Drosophila melanogaster: one gene and its partner. The protein of the gene in region 1 purifies or fractionates together with the protein of each later gene. This does not show direct contact. Each region holds a gene or a part of one and is shown on either strand. Other genes may lie near its edges.

The links.
Region 2: the proteins of spri (region 1) and vap purify together in Drosophila melanogaster (affinity purification with western blotting; one study listed by BioGRID). This does not show direct contact.

The regions. Positions count from the first base shown.
Region 1 is NC_004354.4:10,582,162-10,587,198, reverse strand, and holds the start of spri (sprint), read left to right. Parts: upstream 1-1,776; 5' UTR 1,777-2,289; intron 2,290-5,037. UniProt on the Drosophila melanogaster protein: Potential Ras effector protein. May function as a guanine nucleotide exchange (GEF), by exchanging bound GDP for free GTP.
Region 2 is NC_004354.4:15,999,709-16,007,866, reverse strand, and holds vap (vacuolar peduncle), read left to right. Parts: upstream 1-2,054; 5' UTR 2,055-2,882; intron 2,883-3,422; exon of another isoform or gene 3,423-3,539; intron 3,540-3,780; 5' UTR 3,781-3,941; coding exon 3,942-4,152; intron 4,153-4,224; coding exon 4,225-4,338; intron 4,339-4,417; coding exon 4,418-4,490; intron 4,491-4,571; coding exon 4,572-4,981; intron 4,982-5,154; coding exon 5,155-6,004; intron 6,005-6,076; coding exon 6,077-6,983; intron 6,984-7,048; coding exon 7,049-7,199; intron 7,200-7,281; coding exon 7,282-7,430; 3' UTR 7,431-7,916; downstream 7,917-8,158. Other genes in the region: CG12698 (uncharacterized protein), read right to left, coding at 191-367, 436-576, 627-760, 812-923, 1,047-1,190, 1,258-1,362, 1,440-1,640.

The DNA of each region.
Region 1 (5,037 bases):
GGTGAAGGAATAATAACTATCAGAGGGTAATGTGACTTCGAGACCAGCCCTTTTCTTCGGTTTCTTGCTGAATTGTGCACGGCAAAAACAATTACAATTTCGCAAACAAAGATAATTTGCGAATGAGATCGACGACACGACACAATGGCACTTTACAACAACAAGAAGAACAACACGACAAATGGGGCGGGTATGGGGGTCTGTCAAGAAAACCTGAATTTCGAAATGGAAGGGCTAAAAAAAAGGTGAAAAATCAGAAATCAGAAGCTTCTTTCCAATTCCAGAAGTCAAAACGCTAATCGGTAATCGACAATTGCTTATCGGTCATCGACAGTTTTCGCGTTTTCAAATTGTTTGTGGCTGGCAATACAAGGTGAATTGTAAAAAAAAAAAATTAATAAGTGCGAGCAAAAAATGCGATCACATAGCAAACAAAGCTGCAAATCAAGCGAAACAAACACGTCGCCCTCTTAACAAGATATAACCGGGTTAAGCACAATAATATATCTTTTAATATAAATACTTATTCATATACGATAGTAAAACTGATAAAAGATAATTTTCAAGAGAATCTGTTAAGATTGTGAACCAAAGTCTGTGCATTCAATTTCCAGCTAAAACCAAACAACGAAAGACAAAAAGAACAGATTGCTAATTAAAATTTATGGGTGTCATAATTTTCCGACAATTAAAAGTCTCATTTTACAGCAAGAAATATTGATTTGGTCAGCAGTACCATGTGAAAAAATATTACTGATATATTGCAAAACAACCATTTTAGATTTCCATGTGCCATAGCTTTGGCTTTCAGCTATAACTTGTTTTAAACAATATAAGCTTATTTTGCATTACACGTTTAATTAAATTGGGACAGCATAAATTTTTGATAATTACAAGCACCTTTTCCAAAATCGAAAGTAAATCAGCACCTGCCGTTTAATAATTCACTTTGGTGAGCAATATTTATTTTTTGCCAACTCCGCGCTTTTTTAAAGAAAATTTTGTAACCGTAAAACACCAATATAACAATCCATTGCATTCATAGTAATTTCCATTTTAAAACATTGTTAATTTACGGAAAGAATAGTTTAGGAAACTTTTAATACAGTAAGTTGACTTAGTAGCAGAAGAATAAACTTTAATATTAAATATTTCTTTAACAAAGTTAAAAACTTTGCTATCTTCCTTACAACCTATGTTAACCACAGTGACAACAATGATCTATGAGTAAGCGTAAAGTTTGCTTAATACATTATATTATAGTTTTGATATTATACTTTCATAAATTAGTATGGTTGGGTAAATGGTTGTAATTAATATATTGAAAAATGTAAGATCTTATGACTGACATGTGACCACAATAGAGTTAAGTTTAAGTTCTTTTTTAATATAGTTTAACTATTAAGCTATTACTCCATGGTTTCATATATCTTGTGGAGTAAAGTGCTGTTAACATGTTCTGTAAACATATGATACAACTTTCCTTAACTCTTCGACCATTGTGCTGTTAAGTTAAAAATACCTCTTAATATACTTTTATTATTGATAAATAGTTTAGATTCATATACATATCTTGTGGCGCAAAGAACTTTTAACATTATCCATCAACTGAATGGAGAGTTTTCAGTAGGAGTGTGACCACTGTGCGCCATCGTTTCGCATCTCGTAATTTTGCTTGTGTTGTTGCTGTTGTTGTTGCTGCTGCTATTATCGCAGCGAGTTGTTGCTGCCGGCGACGATCTTCGTTTTGTCGGCGGCTTCAGTTCAGTTCAGTTTAGTTCGAGTTCGCACTCGGCCACAAACGGTCGGTCGGTCGGTCGGTTGTTCGTTCGTTCGTTCGCTGAAGGAGAATTGTGGAGAAGAAATTGAACCCGTAATCTTCGGAATCCGTAAAGCCGTAGTCCCGTAGTCGTAAGGCGATCGCGAGAATTGAAATTGTGCTGCAACTCAAGTAAAATAATATTGTGTCGCACAAGATCACTGCGTGTCGCGCTCAATTAAATACACATCTTTTTTTTTATATTTTTCCCCCGGTCTTTATTTATTTTTTTTTGTTTAATTTTTTTTATTTGCGCTACAACGTTGTTATTTATATTTAATTGTTTTGTAACAACAACAACAACAGCAGCCGAGTTAAGTGCGAAAAGTGAAGTGAAGTTTGTCGGCGAGTGAGTGCGAGTGCGCACAAAAATTGGAGCAGGTTCCAGAGATCTTGAGATCTTCAGAACTAGAGATTCCCAGTTCCTAGGCTCCCGGGTTGCGACTTTTGGCGGCATTGGCGTTCCCCTGGTAATTTAATTGAAAGTGATGATCGTAGCCCATCCATAAAGCCACTTACCGGTAGTTCCCCCATCCTTTCACAAGTTCAAGTTCACCGACCACGCGGACTCCTTTTTTCGCTCTTCCACCCGCTCTCTCTTCTCACTCTATCTCTCTTGATCGCTTGCCCTTCTTTCACTCGAAGAAAATACAGTGCACACTCGAGATGGTGAATTTGGATTGGCCATTAATTGCTCCCAGTTTGGGTTATCATACTAAATCTTTGTACAATATCTTTGGAAAAAGATTAAAACCTAACTTTAAATAAATAGTAATAATTACTGCTGTACAACTATTCTTTTTTTTTTCTGAGTGAAAAGCTCTTTTGTCTTTCTCGCCAAAAGTGCGTTGGATTTCTTTACATTGTGCCTGGTTCTCTTCGGTTTACACACTCGGTACATTGCACCCTTGGTCCCTGTTTCCTTTAGTGTCGTCTTTCGCTTTCAATGCATTTTGACAGTGGATTGCTAATCGGCCAGGTATTCGCAGGCCACCTTATAGCACCTACCATATATACCCATCGTACATCTACATACCATTCATACATACAATCGCATTCGCATTCGTATATTCGCATTCGCATTCCTGTCGCCGTTGTCATTTCCTCACCTCATCGGGCACCGCCCTCTTGCTTTCACGCACCTGATGATAAACGGCTCAAATTTTGATAATGTGTACGGATTGTGCTGCAAATTGCTCAAATGGCTAATCAGCTGTTGCTAGCACATATGTATAACCCCCTATACTCCATATCTTTCCAATGAAATCGGCGGGAAATTGGCTTTGTCTCGAGTCTTATCGCATGCCAAAAAAAAAAAACGAAAAATCAAAAGGCAAAAACCCAAAACTTAAGTCTGAGCTCCAAGTCTAAACCAAAACCGCAACATCATCTCAATATTTCCTTAACCACAAGTGCACAGAGCAAACAAGGTCTACTATTACTATTGACTAATTAGGCATTCTTAAGATATAAAAATATATAAATAGAGCAAAATGGTATAACAATTATAATCTATATTATCTAACATAATATCCAAAACCGTGGTGTGCGTGAAACGTGCCCTAATTTTCGCTCTGTGTGCGTGCATCAGCGGATTGCTGATAAGTGGAGAATGTTTATTGTCATTACCTGTGTCCCACTACCTGTACATTCCCCTACCCTGCGGTACTACCCCTCCGGTCGATATGGTATTCCTCATGCAATTTGCGGTTGTCACAGCTATTAGGTTTAGATAGTCCACTGTAGCGGTCTTATCAATGGGTTGCTTTCGCTGGTCAGTCAGTCAGCCAGGTATCTCTGTACGTACGTATGTTTGCCATGCCAGTATTATGATAGCGATCGTCAGTGGTTTACTTCGCTAATGATCCTCGTCGCTCAGCATGGGAACATCGCATCTGTATATGCCCACTAATCCCACTCGTATATTTTGGCTTTTTTGGCTTATCGCGATGGTCATTTAAATACACGTAGGAATCGTTGCGATCCCATCATATACATACAAACGTATGTGCCCAGATATTTTTGGGATACCATTTCCTTTCTTCGGGCTCTTTCCAGTTAATATCTTTTTAGTAGTTCTTAGAATTAATTTATCATATCATATCACTCACTGAACTAACTAATTTGTCCACTTAATGGATACAACTCATGATTATCAAGTGATCTCTGTGAATACCAATTCATTGACTGATAGATGATCACACTCAAATAAAATCGCTATAATTTCCGATGATTATTGACTATGCTTATAAGTCCTTAGCCCTACTGAATGATCTCAGCTAAATTCCCCACCAAACTTTTCTCACCCACACACGAAATGCCGCAATGTCGAGTTAAAATTATTCGATGGCAAGAAAAAAAAAACAGAGATTAAATAACAAAATACCAAAAAAAAAAAAAATTGCCAAAAAAGTCAGCTTTGACTAATGCGCTGCATTGGCGGTGCGATCATTTTTTGGCGATCACTTTTTAGCACCAGTTGAGCTACCATGTGGGCGCAGCGGCAGCCAAAATAGTTGGCCAAGAGTCTCGAGGTCTGAAAGTCGCACTCTTGTTTTTGTTTCGACTTTGTTTTGCTTTCGGCTATCAACAGCTAACCGCTGCGCCCAACTGTTCCAATAGAAAGCCAGTTAACAGCGATACGCTCCGGTTTTCTGTCTTCTCTCTGTTTTTATTATTGGGAAGGGAGATCGAGATCGTTGGATGGGAATCGATCAGTTGATTCGCGGTTCGTAAGTGTCTAAATATAGATTTCGACCATATTTGCTGGCAAATATTGGCCATGAGTGTGCGGCGGGCTGAACCTGCCTCAATTCAAGTGGCACAGTATCTGTATCTGGGCTCCTATATCTTTATACATATCTTTGTACATATATATGAGTATTTGCGAGTGAGTGCACGTGTTTTTGTGGCAGACGGCAGATCGGGCAACATGTCACCCCACGCGACATGCCACATACTACATACTACATACTACACATGCTACATGCAACATGCCACATTTCTCCATCAGAGTTGTTCGCTTCTTTTCATTTTTCGCGTCGGCATTCCCAGCGATCTGATGTCGACTACCAAGCTCGAGCTCCCTTAATAAGTCTTAATCTATATGTCAATATTTTCTTGTTTAGTTTCCAAACACAGACAGACACACACGGCCGTGTTGGATCCATATCTGCATCGTTTTCTGTTTCTGAAAATGTATCTGTATCTGTATCTTT
Region 2 (8,158 bases), 5.4 Mb from region 1:
TATTTAAAATTGAAATTGAATTGTTAAGATCCAAACGATTTGGTTGATAACGATGCACAGATTCCGTATCTGGATGCGAAAAAGGGATATATAACTTGTATACAAAGTTATATACAAAAATGATTGTATATGGTGAACGTGTCGCGAATTTTTTTCATTTTATGATACTGATACTTAATTTAGAGCTCACCTTCCTTTTCTTGCTCTGTTCGTTTTCATCCAGCGATGAGGTGGATTGCACGTACTCGTTAATATCAAAGAGCGGCTCGTTATCGTTTGGACCTGTGTCATCATCCAGGAGAGGTCCAGTTTTGAGATTATAAATGTTTGGCAGCTGGAACACCTTTTCCCGGTTCACCATATTGACCTGTGATGGATAAAACGATACTATATGCATATTTCTGTCAAATTCGAGATTTCTAGCAGATAGCACACCTTCATGTGAAGGCATTGTAGCACCACGCATTCCCCGCTAAGGACAAAATAGACATAGCTCATGGTACCCAAGTCTTCGGTGTAGATCGTCTCCAAGGGCTCGAATTGCTGAATTGTTCCATACTTACTGGCATTTACAATCTTACAAACAAGTTATATTATAATTTCTTTTTATCTACTATTATACTTACCTGTTCTTCGTTGAGAAAGTCAAAATAGTCAAGGGCCCGCAGAGCATCCTTCTTTTCCTGCCACATCTTTTGCATAAACGGTAGAAGAACAATTTTATAGTTCGTATTGAATATAGCCAGGAGTTCGCAATAAGCTGAAAGAATCAAATGCGATTAGGTGTCAAGAAACAAACGAATCGATTTACTTGTGGCGATATAAGTGTTGGTTCTGGGTGTATCTTCCATCACGTCAATATCACCAATGCAATCCCCGGGTCCAAAAATGGCCTCCGTTTGTACGGTAGGACGACTGGAGCCCTAAGAAATATACCATTTTTCAAATAAAAAAGCATATATATTTAATAAGGCATAATTGAAAAATTGTAGCTATAACTATGCAAAGCATATTAGAAAGTATTATATATAATTTGAATAGTTTACCTTTTTATATATGTTCTTAGACATTTCCACCTCACCGGCGATTATAAAATAAATGGTTACGGGAAAATCCTCCTCCTTCATAACAATACGCCCGGGAGATATTGCCATGAATTTGACAATCGGAACAAGACGGGCGCGGACTTTCTAAAAGGGGTAACAGGTCGGATAAGTAATATTATACATATGTACAAATGATCAGCGCGCTACTCACTGGCGGAAATTTTGAAAAGCAAGCCAGATTTGCCACAATGGTGCAGAGCTTTTTCCTCTCATCGACGGAACGCTTAGCATGTGGAGTGCGCAGCAGCGATTTCTCCTGCAATTAAGCAAACACAAAAAGGAATAAACTCTTGAGCTAGCCTTGATATGAAAGAAGAGGTTCGTTGGACTTACGGCCATGGTCATCATGCCCACTTTGCGCTTCTGTCGCAGCATGGCAACGTTCTTCTTCACATTCAGCGATATTCCACCCTCCTCGGGCAGCTCACTTAGCCACTGCATATTCAGTATCACGGATCGGATGAGCTTCTTAAACCGAATCTTGGCTATTTTCTTTCCAGCGCCATCGTGAACATCGCGTTGGCGCTTGGACATGATTATGCCTTCTAAATCCCACTGATGTCGAACTGTTCAGTTCAGAGTATTGTGTCCATATAATAGTATTCGAATGACAAAGATTCGGGCTGCCGCCTGCTGTCTAAATAAGCTTGAAAATATGAAAATATATAAACTTAATTTTACCCCATTTCAGATTTTGACGGCTAACGGTTTTCGTGCGCACAAAAAACATGTGTTATTTTCAAAGTGTTTAAATCATCTTTTGTAATTTCAACACATATTAGCTTTTCATTTAAGAAATGTACATTCAAATGCTGAATAAATATTATTTGCGTTTGTTTTTTCTTTAAAATATTATATCTTAAATTGGCTTATCGTTTATAATCGATTTCTTATTCGAGCTGTACTCTCTGGCGCTATCTTGACGCACATACATTCGTCCGATAAGTTGGGTGTGTGGTATATTTCGATGATTCACTACGTTCACACTGCGCACAATTGAATTCTGTGGCTATCGGTACGGAAGAAATTTTAGTTCGTTTTAAATATGCAATTGTTATGAATAACACAAGTTGAGCAAATAAAAGACGGCAATTCCCAGCAGCGCGATTTGTTTTTTTAGCTCGGTGCTGCAGTGCAATGTAAAGTATATAGAGGAAAATATTTACACATGCGCATTAACCGATTAATGTTCTGTGTAAATGGTTTTATTTTTTTTTTTTTTGTATTTTTTGTTACCCATATGAGAGAGAATTAAATGGTTGTGCTAATGATTCATTTACAAAGGAATCACAAACCGAACACAGCCCAGAAATTGTGAATCAAATGGGCAGTAATTACCCCGCTTGAGAGGAGTATGATAAAGACGGCGACGGTGATGACGATGTTGATGATGATGAGATGGTGTTGATGATGATGATGATATGATGACTCTTCGGGTCGTGTATGTATGAAGAAAAGAACCGAATGAATTTTTTTGTGTTCGGCTCGTTTGGCAAAAAGGGCTTAGCCTAAAGTTTGTGTGTGGTGTGCGGCTCATATAAATCGCTTGTGTTTTAGATAGATGTTGATGTACAAGAGGGTGCAGCATATTCCTATATATATACCAATGTACATAAAGTATATATACGGTGTTACAATTCATAAGTAACTTGTACTTTCATACAACTCGAAATATCCTAAAAATGTCTGCGCATATGTAAGAAAGTCAGTCGCCCGGCGATTTCAAAGAGCAATATGTACATATGTACAGTGGCTCACAGCTTAATTCGTCCAGAGGTAAATGTTTATTTAATAATTCGATGAAAAACCGTTTAAAATATCAAAGAAATGGAATAGACAATTTTCCTTATCCATACACATTGAAAACGTATAGAATCAATATACAGATTCTAAGATGAAAATCTTTATAGAAGAAACAACTTAAAGATCTTAAAGTTGTATGGTTTTTTGTTGTCTAAGCTGTGGGTTCACTACACTCCTATATTACTGACTGAAACAATCACAATTGATTTGTTATCTGTAAAAGTAAACAAAGCGCAAACAGCTGATGGATGTGCTGTCCATCTTATCTTTCATTTAGTTTACTGCGAAGTCTACGTCGTTAATTGCTTTTAAATATGGTTTTGGATATAAAGTAGCATTGTCTCTATATTCTAATTAATAAACCCGGTTTCTGGTGCTGGTTGTAATCGGTTGTAATAGCGCCTATTAGTAAATTTCTTGTTTTACCAATAGGCTTAGGTTTAATCGTATTTAGTGTAGGTGTGATGTATTCTTGCCCCACAATTTTGCATACGTTGTTAAATTATTTGTTAGATCCTCAACTTTCGTAACATTGGACCCGAATTTTGTTTTGGACACTTATAGCGAATCTATTCCAATTTGTTTTTGTGAGATTACCACCACCGATATGGCAAAGAAAATGATTTCACGGTAAGCCCCGAATTCCGAATTATTTTCCATTATCTATATTTAATAGCATTAGAAAGCGGAAACTAGAACTAACAAATCTCTCGGGGCGTTTTTAGTGAATGGTTTTAGACATATCTTGGTTTAGTTAAGCATTTGATTCTATTAGTGACTCTCTAATCTGATTTCTGATTTTTATCAAATATGATTTTCGTATTGTAATCAAAGTAAGGCAGCTAAGTGTTTTTATCTGGTCTTCTTACAGTTTAGCACGGAAAACCCCACACAGTCACAAAAGTTAACGTATCTCCTCAGTTAAACGCATTCTTATCATTGCTATATGTGGCTTTTATTAAATCGAATTCCACTCGAAGTTAAATATAGACTAAGACTCGCATTTGCTGAACAGAGATCATAAGCCTAACAATGGCGGACCTAATACATTTGGGAAACATTGATGTTGTCATCCAGAAAGATAAGCCCGGATCGCCAACGGGCTGTTCGGATGATGGGAATCTTGCGGGGCTGGGTGGCATGACCGGATTGGGTGGCATAATGGCACCTGGCGGCATCGACTTGGGTGACTTGGCTCAGGAATTGGATCACGATGAATTCGATGGACCACATATGCTGAATGGTAAGTAAAGTTACATGCCCATACATTGTAGTTCGATCGATAACTAATTTTCCTTGCAAACTCCAAACGCAGGTGAACGTCCAGCGATTATTGCTCCTCCGGAAAGCGAATGGTACCATGGACGACTCGATCGCTACTCTGCAGAGTCTCGCCTACGCGGAAGCAGTAAACTGGGCAGCTATTTAGGTGTGTATAAGATGGTATTCGAAGGTGAGAAAGTATTACTAAATAAATACCTTTGTGTTCTTTTTTTAATGCTGAGCAGTTCGCGAAAGTGACCGCAAACCTGGCTCCTATGTTCTGAGTTATTATGGCCGCACCGGCATAAATCATTTTCGGTAAGTAATAGGTTAAGATACCCATTAAATGCCATTGTTTTGAATGATTTTTTATATATGTATGTTGTATCGTTAACATAGGATTACAGCTGTGTGCGGAGACTTCTATATCGGAGGACGACAATTCATTTCCTTAAGCGACTTGGTTGGTTACTATACCTCATGTAGTGATCTACTGAAACGCGAACGCTTGGCCATACCAGTTGCTCCGCCGGAGCCAGTTAATGATAAGAAACGCGTCGTAGCCATCCTGCCTTACACAAAAATGCCAGAGACCGATGAACTGAGTTTCCAGAAAGGTGATATCTTTTTTGTACACAATGACATGGGCGATGGCTGGTTGTGGGTGACTGCCCATCGTACGGGCGAGCAGGGAATGATATTCAGAGAACTTGTTGACGATCTGGATGTATCTATCGATCCAAATACGGTGTTTCCCTGGTTCCATCCCAACTGCACCAAAAACGAAGCCGTCGATATGTTGGTTAAAGGTGTGTATTATTAGTTTAAGGTACCTACAAGTAAGGAAAGCAAGCTTTCCCGAGATTCACGAGATGAATCCTTAGAATTTTGAGCTTCTTCTAGTGACGCCTACAATCGATATTTTCGACTTTTCTCTGTTGCTATATGTATGTAATTGAAACACATTTTTTCATCCTAACAGCTGGACCAGGAAGTTTCCTCGTTCGCCCAAGTGACAACTCACCGGGGGATTACTCTCTATTCTTTCATATAAACAATCAAATCCAACGCTTTCGTATTGAAAAGAAAGGCGTGCGCTATTTAATGGGCGGTCGTACATTCGAATGCTTGGATGCGGTTATAAATCGATATCGCAAAGAGCAAATTGTGGAGGGCCACTCACTGAACCATCCAGTTGTCAATGGCATTCAGCCCGAGTTCAATCAGCAATATGTTGTGGAAAAGGCCGCTGAAAAGATCTACGCAACATTGCGCGAGTGTCGTGACCAAATCGGTCTCAAAAAGATCAAGGGAATCAAACATCACGGCCATTTGAACAAGAAGTCGGACAAAACGACGAAATGGAAGCAACTCTATTTCGCTTTAATCAACGATGGTTCCGAGACGCAACTATGCTTCTACGACAATCCGAAGAAGACCAAACCGAAGGGTCTGATCGATTTGTCCTGTGCTTACCTCTATCAATGTCACGATTCGCTGTGGGAGCGTCCCTATTGCTTCCAAATTGTCGAAAGGGCCCTGCCATGCTTGGCCACAGTGACGTATCTGTGTGCTCCTAGTCAGGAAAGCTACGTGGAGTGGATTAATTCGCTCAAGGCACAATGCGATTCCCAGCTGAGTCGTGCCCAGAAGAAGGTATCACGCCTTCGTGAGCTTCGTTGTCTTAATCTGCATGTGCTGGAAGCTCATCGATTACCATTTAAACTAGTGCCACATCCATACTGCAGTATTTCCCTCAATCAAGTCAAAGTGGGCAAAACTCGTGTCAAAATTGCACCCGAACCCGTTTGGGAAGAGGAGTTTGTGCTAGAGTAAGTCTACCATTCCTTCGCCTATTTGATAACTTATCGAATAATATATGTTTGTAACTTGCTTGCTTGCAGCGATGTTCCGCCAGATGTTGTCTCCCTAACCATAACATTAATATCGCGCGGCAAACGCGGTAAGGACTCCGAAGTGGCTGAGCTAACCATTGACTTGTCTAGTCTAAAGAATGGCCAGGAAACCGAGGGCTGGTACCAACTCACTGGCATGACGCCGATGGGTGAATGGGGCTCGCTACGATTGCGTATGCGCTACCTCGACGATCTGATAATGCCGTGTGAAGAGTACAGTCCTCTGCAGCAATTGCTCCTCGAATCGGAGCTGTATGCTGTGAAGGCGCTGGCTGAATTGTGCCATAATGATCGGGTTCCTTTGGCCACGGCTCTGTTGCGAGTCTTTAGGCAGGAGAAACGGGAAACGGAACTAATTCGAATGCTGTGCCAAGCGGAGGTGACGCGCGAAAACGAAACCACAACGCTTTTCCGTGGCGCATCCTTGGCCACCACCCTAATGGATCTATATATGCGCACCGAATGCAGCGGCTTCCTGCAATCGGCCGTCAGCGAAACCGTGCAGCGCATTTTGGAGAGCAAGCAGTCGGCTGAATTGAATCCCACGAAAATGGACGTCAACGATGATGCCTGTACGAATGCCGAGTTTCTATTGCAAATCCTCGATCTGGTCACCCAGTCGATATTCACTTCACCGGACGCCTGTCCACGCAACGTGCGTTTCATTTGCAGCTGTCTTCAGAAGGCTGTGATGGCCAAATGGCCGACAGAGCGGCTCGTTCGCACACGCGTCGTCTCTGGCTTTATATTCTTGCGCCTTCTGTGCCCAGCGCTGCTCAATCCACGCCAATTTGGATTGGTCAGCGAGACGCCACCGATGGCAGCAACACGATCTTTGGTCATGGTCGCCAAGTGTCTGCAGAATCTGGCCAACTTGATTGAATTCGGCGGCAAGGTGCGTATCGATTCGACTCAGTTATGTGATTACCAAAATAAATTCGATTTCTTTTTCATTTTTAGGAACAATACATGGAGGTTGTCAATCCGTTTATCTTGAAGAACAAGGAGCGTATGATTGTTTTCTTGGATCAACTGTCCTCGGTGAACGATCCGAACCAACCGCTTGGAATGTTTGTCGAACAAAGTACAAATCTGAATTCACAAGACACTGGTAATTATTTGTCAGCTCATGTTTTCTATTTGGCGCTGTTATATTATTAAATATACAATGATTTCTTTTATAATTCCTGCAGGACGCGAGCTGGCTACCTTGCATCACATCTGCGTATCTCATTCGCAAGAACTGCACGAGCTATCCAACATACTTTCAATTAAGAAGCTGGTCACAGTGACGGACATGCTGACCAAACACAAGCTGAAGTATCGCGAGATGATCAGCTAAAATCAATTGCGAGGAGAGCGGATAATAAAAAAAAGCGATGTCTTCTTATCTACAAGTCCCTTCATACCTTTTTATAAAAATATTTATATGTGTATACTATTAGAATACATAAAATAAGAACTCAAAATAACTGGTTGAATTGTATTGGAATAGTAAACAGCATCTCATTTATAAAATTATTTATATGGAAATGAAATAATATTTAACAGACCGGTATGCATTTATTTATTATTATTATTACAAATTAAAAATAACCTATAATACACTAGCTTACACGGATTACTCCGTATAGCCGCAAACTCAGATATTCAAAATGGTTTTGCTTTCGATATTGTTTAAAATTTATTAGTGCATTACCAACGTCAAATGGCAGTTGGCGTCCAAATGCACGGCATTTATCCAAAAGTCAATACATTTTTTTTTGAAATAACGCATAAAATCGAAATAAATTAAAGAATTCAAAAAGAGTGCAAAAGACTTCCTCTGAAAACATACACTGTGTTTTTGAATGGCTCCCTTTCGGTTTCTTGCAGCTGAAAAATGTTTTTTTTTCGAATTTCTTCGCACTTAAAGGCGTTGCAATGGGCATGGAAAAGTCAATAGTCAGCTGAATTTAATATAAATACATATATTCTTCAAAGGAAACAACAGTTTTGCGTTTATATTTGCAGTTTCGCATCTGATTTCTTATTTTAAGTGTATAAAATCATATTCAAAGAAAAAAAAAA